Linked DNA regions of Anolis sagrei. The protein of the gene in region 1 interacts with the protein of each later gene in a pairwise test. Links are inferred from orthologs where the notes say so. Each region holds a gene or a part of one and is shown in the gene's direction. Other genes may lie near its edges.

The links.
Region 2: the proteins of TRIM63 (region 1) and TCAP interact in a two-hybrid assay, tested with the Homo sapiens proteins (3 studies listed by BioGRID and IntAct). The link is inferred for Anolis sagrei from reciprocal best matches to the Homo sapiens genes TRIM63 and TCAP.
Region 3: the proteins of TRIM63 (region 1) and UQCRC1 interact in a two-hybrid assay, tested with the Homo sapiens proteins (2 studies listed by BioGRID and IntAct). The link is inferred for Anolis sagrei from reciprocal best matches to the Homo sapiens genes TRIM63 and UQCRC1.

The regions. Positions count from the first base shown.
Region 1 is NC_090034.1:74,269,562-74,273,315, forward strand, and holds the start of TRIM63 (E3 ubiquitin-protein ligase TRIM63), read left to right. Parts: upstream 1-1,244; 5' UTR 1,245-1,384; coding exon 1,385-1,543; intron 1,544-3,754. UniProt on the Homo sapiens protein: E3 ubiquitin ligase. Mediates the ubiquitination and subsequent proteasomal degradation of CKM, GMEB1 and HIBADH.
Region 2 is NC_090026.1:42,865,027-42,868,780, forward strand, and holds the start of TCAP (telethonin), read left to right. Parts: upstream 1-1,445; 5' UTR 1,446-1,515; coding exon 1,516-1,664; intron 1,665-3,754. UniProt on the Homo sapiens protein: Muscle assembly regulating factor. Mediates the antiparallel assembly of titin (TTN) molecules at the sarcomeric Z-disk.
Region 3 is NC_090022.1:56,695,882-56,699,635, reverse strand, and holds the start of UQCRC1 (cytochrome b-c1 complex subunit 1, mitochondrial), read left to right. Parts: upstream 1-774; 5' UTR 775-811; coding exon 812-886; intron 887-3,754. UniProt on the Homo sapiens protein: Component of the ubiquinol-cytochrome c oxidoreductase, a multisubunit transmembrane complex that is part of the mitochondrial electron transport chain which drives oxidative phosphorylation.

The DNA.
Region 1 (3,754 bases):
CTGATTTCTGTAACCACATGCTCTGTAGGCGAATGATTGCTACATTGCATCCTTTTCAGCTGAATCGCTAATAAAACACCTCGGTGCCGCTTCTTCAACTTTGGTGAGATTTATTTGGAATTTTTAAAGAAATAAAAGTTGCTGAAATCTGGCTTCTCCTAGCTCGCCAAAGTAGCGATCCCTCTTTGGTGGGGTCTCAGGGTCCCTCCTCCTGGGAAAGACCCTCCTAAAGTTCCTATCGACTTCAGGTCAACTATAAATCCCAAATGACAAAATCAATCCCCCATAACCCTAGGTAGGTAGGTAGTCCCCTGACATTAAGTCCAGTCATGTCTGACTCTGGGGTGTGGTGCTCATCTCCATTTCTAAGCCGAAGAGCCAGCGTTGTCCGTAGACACCTCCAAGGTCATGTGGCCGGCATGATTGCATGGAGCGCCGTTACCTTCCCACCGGAGCGGTACCTATTGATCTACTCCCATAACCCTACCAGTATTTAAATTTGGGCGTATCAGGTATTTATGCCAAAATTTGGTCCACTGAATGTAAATACAGCCAGCATATCAGATATTTACATTATGATTATGATTCATAACAATAGCAACAGAACAGTATGAAGTAGCAACGAAAATAATGTTATGGTTGGGGGTCACCACAACATGAGGAACTGTATTAAGGGGCCGCAGCATTATGAAGGTTGAGAAGCACTGCCTTAGAGGAAGGAGGCCTGTGCAGATCAGAGAATAAGAGGCAACTAGCTCAAGGTCCAGAGCCACATTGCTGTCAGAGTTGTTAAAAGTCACCCATTGGGAGAGGACAGCAGCTGGTGCTGGAAATAGCAAACAATTTCTTGAGCAGTATAAGTTTAACCCTTGGTTTTATGGAAACAAGGAGGTCTTGGGTTGTGGATCCTGGGGTGGGTGCAGAGCAGGTTCATGTCGCTTACTTAACGCTCGAGGAAGTGTGACCATTTACACAACCGTGGCTCCAGTTTCTTTGTCCAAACAAACAACGAAGGAGAAAAATAAGGTCCATCCCTGGAAACCGACTTCCTCCAGCCATTTGGACAGGTTGTCCCCTCCACCTTGTTTACAGAGCGCAGGCTCTCTCTCTCTGGAGGGGCGATTGCTCCCCCTCCCCATGTGACAGCATGTCACCCTTTAGGAAACACGACCCCCTTCCCAACGGATCCTGCCAGCCGAAGCACATGTGACTCCCAGAGATAAATTATAAATAGACAAGAGCCAGACAAAAGTGCAGAAAGCCACAAGCTGAGCTTTAAGAGGCAGCCGACAAGTGCTCGAGAAGCCCAATAAGAAGACAGTAAGACATTTTCTGCAGAGACTTCCTCCACCTAGGATATAATTCGGAAGCCTCAAACAGGGCAATGGATTATCAGTCAAGCATCATACGGGACTCTAACCCCATGGAGAATCTGGAGAAGCAGTTGATCTGCCCCATCTGCCTGGAGATGTTCACCAAACCCGTGGTGATCCTTCCTTGCCAGCACAACCTCTGCAGGAAATGTGCCAATGACATCTTTCAGGTCAGTAGATCTCCTCCTAATATTGACCCGAAGTGGGTAAATGTCAGTTTCAATACTGCCAATGCTGGAAATAATGTTCAAGGGAGAGGTACAGGGTGAGGGAGATGAAGTGAGACAAGGAAGCAGCTGATGATAACTTTGAAAGCAAAGCTTGGATAAGTTTTTTTTAACTGAAATTCCCAGAATCTTCAAGACCTAGACAACATAATGAACTATCACAGGCACACCGGTCAGGAGAGCTTGCGAGTTGCAATTCAAAAACTATTTTTTTCTGAAAATGGAGTAGTATTTTCACAAAGAGTCAAATTTGCATTTTCGTAGAAGGACCTGTAATGAAATGTCTAGGCCAGTGTTTCTCAACCTGGGTGTCAGGACTCCTGTGGGGTTGGGTGCGAGTGTCAGAGGGGTTGCCAAAGACCATCAGAAAACACAGTATTTTCTGTTGGTCATGGGCATTCTGTATGGCAAGTTTGGCCCAATTCTATCGTTGGTGGGGTTCAGAATGCTCTTTTATTGGAGGTGAACTATAAATCCCAGGAAGTACAACTCCCAAATGTCAAGCTCTAGTGTCCCAAAACTCCACCAGTGTTCATATTTGGGCATATTGAGTATCCGTGCCAAGTTTGGTCCAGATACGTCATTTTTTGAGTCCACAGTGTTCTCTTAGATGGAGGTGCAGGTGAACTATAACTTCCAAACTCAAGGTCAATGCCCACCAAACCCTTCCAGTATTTTATGTTGGTCATGGGAGTTCTGTGTGCCAAGATTGGTTCAATTCCATCATTGGTGGAGTTCAGAATGCTTTTTGATTGTAGGTTAACTATAAATCCCGTCAACTACAACTCCTGGTGGAGCCCCTGGTGGCGCAGTGGGTTAAAGCACTGAGCTGCTGAGCTTGTTGATCGAAAGGTCGCAGGTTCAATTCCGGGGAGTGGCGTGAGCTTCCGCTGTCAGCCCTAGCTTTTGCCAACCTAGCACTTCGAAAACATGCAAATGTGAGTAGATCAATAGGTACCGCTCCGGCGGGAAGGTAACGGCGCTCCATGCAGTCATGCCGGCCACATGACCTTGGAGGTGTCTACGGACAACGCTGGCTCTTCGGCTTAGAAATGGAGATGAGCGCCACACCCCAGAGTCAGACATGACTGGACTTAATGTCAGGGGACTACCTTTACCTTTTTACAACTCCCAAATGACAAAATCAATCCCCACAACCCCACCAGTATTCAAATTTGGGTGTATCAGGTATTTGGTCCAGTGAATGAAAACACATCCTGCATTTCACATATTTACATTACGATTCATAACAGTAGCAAAATTACAAGTATGAAGTAGCAACAAAAATAATTGTGTGGTTGGGGGTCACCGCAACATGAGGAACTATATTCAGAGGCCGCAGCAATAGGAAGATTGAGAAACACTGAACTACAGGATAATCCTCTTTAAGGGAGGACACATAACCTCTATAAGCATCCAATAGAACAATACACCAACTGTTTGTAAAAACTTTGTTGGTAGAAATGGGCAAACTGCAACAAGAACCTAAGAATGGTGCCAATGTGTGCCACTAATTCTGATGAATATGAATTACAACAAATGAGGGGGGTTGGGAAACATTTATAAGTATTTTTTTGTTATCATGGTGCCAAACATTTTCTAAGGAGTCCCTGTCCCAGCCTTTGAAACATCAAACAAAGACAAATCCTCTCCGGATTGTACCTCTTGGTGAAGGTACTGGAAACAATCCCAAAAGGAATCTGTTTCCTATCTCAAGAGGAAGAACCAGCTGATAAGAGGACGGTCTCTTTGGGGCCTCTTCTAGTTGTGACGCAGTTGTTTCCAACAGTGTTGATTGCTGTTGCTTGACTTCCGAGACAACAAAATAAGGGGAGTCAGGAGGACAGCTCAGGGGCAAAGAAGATATTGGATTCGGCTTCTGGAACAGAGATCAAAGTTTTCCCAAGTTCTCATAGTTTGGCTGGCAGTTGGTGCCGTGGGAGTAGTGTTGATACTAAAGCCAAACCTAGCATGACTGACGGCAGAGCTTGCCAAGCTATGTTGGGAAAAAAATAATTTGTTGCCATTGCTCCTTCATAGCTTTTAAAAAGAAATAGTCTCATTGCTCATTACAGTGGTAAAAACTGGAAAAATAGCCTTCTAAGGTACAACTACATTGAATGAATGCAGACTGACTCCATTTTAATGGTCATG
Region 2 (3,754 bases), on another chromosome or scaffold:
CAGATGGCCATCCAGTCTCTGTTAAAAAGTTTCCAAAGAAGGAGCCTCCACCACACTCCAGGGCAGAGAGTTCCACTGCTGAACAGCTCTCACAGTCGGGAAGTTCTTCCTAATGTTCAGATGGAATCTCCTTTCCTGTAGTTCCTGGAGGCTTGTTCTTTGGAGACTTTAAAACAGAGGCTGGATGGCCATCTTTTGGGAATATTTTGAATGTAATTTTCCTGCTTCCTGCCAGGGGGTTGGATTTCAGGCATGTAGCCGGGGGGGGGGGGGGAGGCTCGGGGGGCTTCAGCCCCCCCCCCCCAAATTTTCATGGTGGTTCGCGAAAAGGCCTTATTGGTGCATTATTTAAACTGTTATGTTTATTCATATCATGATCTGATCACCATACTCAATATATCCCATATGCATGGGGGTATTGGGGTAATGATACAAAAGGTTTGCTAGGGTAGAACCTCTTTCACTCAGACTCAGCCCCCCCCCCCCCCGAAACTCAGCCCCCCTGAAACCCCCCCTGAAAAAAAATTCAGCCCCCCCCCCCCCCGAAACGAAATCCTGGCTACGGGCCTGGTTGGATTGGATGGCCCATGAGGTCTCTTCCAACTCTATGATTCTATCTCAATATAACCATGAATTCAACATTGATTAAGATTTCAATTCAGAAGCCATTCTTCCACATCCTAGTCTCCAGGGCAGCATAAAACAAGCTTGCTCCCTCCTCCCTATGATTTCCTCTCACATATTTATACATGGCTACCATGTCTCCTCTCAGCCTTCTCTTCTGCAGACTAAACATGCCAAGCTCTTTAAGCCACTCCTCATAGGTCTTGTTCTCCAGACTCTTGATCATTTTAGTCGCCCTCCTCTGGACACATTCCAGCTTGTCAATATCTCTCTTCAATTGTGGTATTGTGATCAATCCCAAATAATTGCAGAGATCCCAAAGTCTAAAGCAGTTGAAACATTGGATGAAATTTCATTATCCTTAATGAAAAGGAAATATATGTCATCTGCACATGATCACAAATGCACACATATCCTTATGATTCGCCTGTTGTCACAGACAAGAGATCCAAAAGCAAACCGACTATATCTCAACTTCAGGGAGTCCACTTTAAATGAAAAGTATTTGATGTAAAATCTTTCACCAAAACACTGTGGCAGAAGTCAGACCCTTTTGATCTTTCACACTCAGTCATTTAAACAGCCTGTTGACAGCAGTTCTCACCAGGAAGAGGAGGGTTAAATGAACATAACATATTATAGCATCACAAATGTGGTTTCCAATAACACATACAACCCGAGGAGGCAAAAAGAGGGAGGGGGATCAGAGTCGTATCCAGTGTCAGAATGCTCCACCAGTGACTCAGCATGCCTAGTTTAGCTCCAGACGCCAATCCCTCGGGAATGGGCACTCGGAAAACTATATAAGTCACCCGTGGCTGGGACAATAGCCCAGGCAGAACTGAGGCTTTACATTCACATCCCAGCCGAAGAAGAGACACAGACGCAACAATGCACGGCAAGAGTGTGGTCCTGAGAAGCTCTGGGACACTGTCCGCAGCTGAACTGGCTTGCCAGGTGTCTGAGAGGAACACGGCACGGAAAGAATCCTTCTCCGCTGAATGGAAAGACCTATCTCTCACCACTCGTCCTGAAGAAGGGTGAGTCTTTTGATGATCTCGGGTTAGGCAAGGTTTGGGTCAGGCTTGGTCAAAGTGGTCATAATAAAATGGTCACAAAATTACTGATAGGTTTGGGATTCTCGAAAGAAGACTATGAAACGAGGCAAAGTTTTGGTAGATCCATCTAATCGTTTAGACTTGGGTCTAAACTGGGTTCAATAAGAAGTGAGAAAAAGGTAGGCATTAGGGACCTGATATCTCAGAAATATTTCTCTTTGCCATGGCTCAAAGTAGACTTCTCCAAGCTGTTGTCCTCCAGATGTGTTAGACTACAACTCCCACCAACCCCAGCCAACTCAGCCATAATACATCTTGGGGGGGGGGGGGGGGGAGGTCACCAGGATGAAGAGGCTACTCCATAGCAACGTTATTTTGGGTTGGCATGAGTTTTGCTACAGTGCTGTAAATGGTCTGCATCAGTTATTATCATCAGGGTGTATATAGCCATTATTCCATCCGTAGTAGTAGTAGTAATAGTAATAGTAGTAGTAGTAGTAGTAGTAGAAGAAGAACTTTATTTTTCTACCCCGCCTCCATCTCCCTGAAGGGACTTGGGGAGGCTTACATGGGGCCAAGCCCAGGCAGAATACAATTAAAACAAAGCAATAACAATTAAAACAGCATAAAAACAACATAAAACAACATAACAAAAATAACTAGCAACGACAATAACAGGAGACTAATTTTGGAGGGGGGGAGGAAAACCACTACGTGAGCTAATTAAAGGATAAAGTGGTTTAGTAAGGTAGATGACAATGTATAATGGCATAGGAAAAATCATGGAAACAGAGTAAATTAACAGGATCAGTTAATATAATATAGAACATCAGATTAAATGACAATAGTATTGTATCAAGGAGCAACAACACGCCATTACATGTGGATCTTACAGCCTATATTTTGACAAAAGAGGAAATAAAGAAAGTGCTAAAGGGGGGGATGAAAAATAGTAAGGTTGAGAGACAATGGCCATTGAGTCAGACCACCAGCAATCCAGCACTGTTTAAATGGATGGAGTGAGTTGAAAAAAAAGTGCGCAATGCATACAAGTGATGAACAAGATTATGAATTTGCATTACTGATTCAGACCAGAGGCTGAGAAAATTACTTTTCATACTAGAACGCTTAGCTAGCCTTTCTGACCAAGAGTTTAGATCCAGCTGCACATGCTTTCTGCCTCAAGAAAGGGCCAAGCAAATTCTTCTGGGGAGCTCACAAACAAAGCACCTGGAGGATAGCTGTCTCCTCTCCTCTACTTCAGAGTTTCTCAAACTGTGCTCCTCCAGATGTTTTGGACTTCAGCTCCCACAATTCTTAACAGCTGGTAATCTGGCTAGGATTTCTGGGAGCTGAAGTCCAAAACACCTGAAGGAACACAGTTTGAGAAAGACTTTGTCCATAGTTGGTGGATTCTTTCTAGTTTAGTGCCATCTTTTCTACAATCGGGCAACCAGATCCTCATCAAAGCCCAACCAAAAGGGGCACAGAGTGACATACCCCCTCCTATTCATGTCCTCCAGCCAATGACATTAGAGGCATGGGGTGGCACATAGCGTCCTTGACTAGTAGGCATTGATTGCTTTATTCCCATTAATCTTATTTACATTTAAACTCAGTTAAATCAGTGCTGGGTAATCTGTGGTTTTCTAGATCCTATGGAACACCCAAGTCCCATCAACATTAACCAATCAGGATAACAATGAAGTATGATAGTAGAAGTTTACCAATATCTGGAAACCCACAAGTTTCCAACCTCTGATAATAGTTGGCCATCACCATATTTTGTGGTAGTGAACTCAGGCATGGCTAAACTTTGGTCCTCCAGATATTTTGGACGTCAACTCCCACAATTCCTAACAGCCTACTGGTTTATTGTCGAAGGCTTTCATGGCCGGAATCACTGGGTTGTTGTAGGTTTTTTCAGGCTATATGGCCATGTTCTAGAGGCATTCTCTCCCGACATTTCGCCTGCATCTATGGCAAGCATCTTACTACCTCTGAGGATGCTTGCCATAGATGCAGGCGAAACGTCAGGAGAGAATGCCTCTAGAACATGGCCATATAGCCCG
Region 3 (3,754 bases), on another chromosome or scaffold:
CAAAAACCTACAACCACCCAATGATTCCAGCCATGACAGCCTTCGACAATACAATTTCATAGGATTTCCATGAATTTCATTGGGTTTTCTTGGACAAGGAATACGCAGTGATGATTTGTCTGGTTCCTTCTGAAATATAGCCTACAGCATCTTCAATTCATTGGTGGTCTCCCATCCAAGTAGTATCCAGGAATGACCCAGCTTAGCATATGAGCAAGCTTGTTTTCTGCTTCCTTGGAGACTAGGACGCGGAACAATGGCTTCAAACTACAAGAGAGGAGATTCCATCTGAACATTAGGAAGAACTTCCTGACTGTGAGAGCCGTTCAGCAGTGGAACTCTCTGCCCCGGAGTGTGGTGGAGGCTCCTTCTTTGGAAGCTTTTAAGCAGAGGCTGGATGGCCATTTGTCAGGGGTGATTTGAATGCAATATTCCTGCTTCTTGGCAGGGGGTTGGACTGGATGGCCCATGAGGTCTCTTCCAACTCTTTGATTCTATGACACCTCATCATATGAAATGCATTGAGCAAACCGCCACCAGAAAGCAACATACAGCGAATGTCAGTGGGTTGCTGTGAGTTTTCCGGGCTGTATAGTGAATGTCAGCTTTCAAATGTTACCGGAAGTTTAGTTACCGCACTAGTCGCTTTTATCTCTAAGCAGGGCTATGAGAACAAGGATCATAGTTGCCTTCCTCTTTTAAGCCTCTGTGGATGCCTGCGCCTGCTTCTTGCGCATGCGCTTCTCTGGCACGGCCCCCCGGTGCTCTCCTTTCTGCGCATGCGCTGTGCTTCTTCCTCCCGTCAAGTAAGATGGCGGCGTCCTCTGTCTGCCGGGTCGCGGGTTGCGTGGCCAAAAGGGGCCTTTTGCGCGGGCCTCGCGCGCCGGTGAGTGGGCTTCTGCGCGGGGAAGGAGCGGGAGGCGGCCGGTGGGCGGGAACGGGAAGGTGGAGACGTCTGTATCTGTAATATGAGGAGGTGGGATGGCTGCGCCACCCACGAAGGTCACGGCGAAGGAGGCTTGGCCCAGCCGCCGCCAGGCAGGGCAGCGAATCAAGGCGAATCCGGAATCAAGGCCGAGGCCCAGTGGCCTGGGCAGAAGAAGAAGCCACAGGTCTCCTTGCTGAGCAGGCTCGTTGCCTCCTTCCTGGGTTGGCCATGATAATGATTGTGCTGTTAGGAATGGTGGGAGTTGAAGTCCAAAACACCTGGAGGGCCCAAGTTTGCCCGTGTCTGAGATAGATACATAGGGTATATACTGCCTAAGCTATCTATCAATCTATCTATTGCATATACAGGAATTCCCCAAATTTCGAACAAGATAGGTTTTGTAGGTTTGTTCGTAAGTTGTTGTTTTTTTTTTTTGTCGTGTCAGGAGTGACTTGAGAAACTGCAAGTCGCTTCTGGCGTGAGAGAATTGGCTTTCTGTAAGGACATTGCCCAGGGGACAATGTCCTTACAGTTGATGGGGAGAGGCAGATGAGTTGATGTTTTTATCATCCTTATGGGAGGCATCTCTCATGTCCCCACATGAGGAGCTGAAGCTGATAGAGGGAGCTCATCTGCCTCTCCCCGGATTTGAACCTGCAACCCGTCGGTCTTCAGTCCTGCCGGCACAGGGGTTTAACCCACTGCGCCACCAGGGGCTCCAGAGTTCGTAAGTTGAATTCATACGTAATAACATAATAATAAATCTTTATTCATATCATCCCCAAAAAGGGATGCAGTATGAAATCAACAGCAGTTATACACATATATAACACATGAACCATCAATAAAATATAAACATTAAAAAACATTTTAAAAACATGTAAGTTGGAACAGGCAATTTTTTTAAAGTGTAACTTCATATATATATATATATACACACATATAAATAAAAGCAAGCTTTGGATATCATAAGGAAGGGTTATGTGGTGTTTGTTTTGCTGTCCGTGCCCCCTATTCATAAGATTTCACTTCACTTTCTCTTACTGTGAGGATCGTATTTTGAAAAATATGGCTTGTTGTAGAACAAGGATTGGTAATACAGCTTCAGTGGAGACATCTTTTCCCCATGGTTATGTTGATGTTGATAATCTTTATTTATAACTCGTCCTATCTATCCGAAGAGACTAAGGACTGTTTCTAAACAAAAAAGTGGCAAACATTCAATGCCATAATGAAAACAAACACCAAATCAAACCAATAAATAAACAACATCAATATAAACTTTTAATGACTAACCAATAAGTAAATAAATTAGAAACAAAATAGATTAGTTTAAAGGCTTAATAAAATATAATCAAACACATTTACTTTGTAATAAAATCTGACCACTAAAATGCATTAAAGTGTAAAATGGTTTATAGCCATCAATAGATTACTCCTCCGGGAGTGAATTTCCCTTCCAAGGGAAAGATTTCTCTCACTTCTTGTTGTCTCTCCCCCGTTCTTACCTAGACATATGTAAGTTGTCTGTCTGTAACTCGGGAACTGCCTGTACTGCTGTGGAAATACTTGGAGACAGTATAATAAAATAATATAATACAACTTTATTTATATCCCACACCTATCTCCCTGAGGGGTCTCAGAGTGGTTTCCAATAAAAGATTGGCAAACAAAAACAAATAAACAACCCAAACAAATCACAGAAATTCACATATAACATAAAATTATAACACATAATCAAAAATTAAATAATAAACATAACAGATCCATTACTTCACATCTAACATTAAAACACAACACAATTCTAACCAAATATCAGAATACATTTAAAATATTCAAATTTTATGCAGCCAACAATATGTTATTGAATTCCCTAAATATTCCAACCACATAGCTACTGGCTAAGAGTTGCAGTCTCCCACCTAAGAAATTTCCCCAAACATTGGATACACCTATTGTTGCTGTAAATTCTGCCTTTGGGCATTTCAAAACATTATTGGACCCTGTTCCTCAGATACTACTAGGCAAAATTATAGCCATGCATGACAATCATCCCGTATCTGGAATTTTGAACTCTCAAACAATTTAAATCATGTGAATGATGTTCAAGAACTCAGTGATGGAAACATTTGAAGACAGGTGGCCAGTGTCCACAGTTGTTTCTTTTTGATTTGTCAAACTCTGTAGCCCACAGGTAATATGTGGTCGTACAACGCCAATGCAATGAAACATCTGTCATTCATCTCTGTAGCAATCAATACTCCTCCTGTGGAGCACTTCTCAGTCCTCTGGGTTTAGTTTCAGGGATGACTGGGGTCTGCAATGTGGACAGTAGATTGCTTTTTCCCCATTTGCATTGAATAGGACTGGTTCATCAATGTGGGATACTTTCCTATAGATGGTTCCAGTATTATCTAACATTATGGATGTTCTTGTTTGTGCATCTCAGGCTGCTCTGGCAATTCATACTCTCTCTCTTACAGTTTCAGAGCATGTTTTTAATTCAGTTAGGTTTTAAGATTTTGATGTAGTTAGCTTTAGAGTTAACATCTTGACGATTTTTGTCATGTAGTTTTTGATTTCTTGTGCATGTGTGTTTTACCCAGCAGATTATTCTTGAAGGTCATTGTGGGTTTTTTCTGTCTTGAAAATTAAGTTGATGCATATATCTATGGCTAAGCTACATTGGTTTTAAGTTAATAAATTCCTATATATTTGTATTCTATTTTAATAGGACCAGACGTATGTTGTATGTTGTGTTTGCACTGTCTGTTTTTGATAAGGCCAACTGGCTAATCAATAAAAATTGTTGTTGTTGTCTTGAAA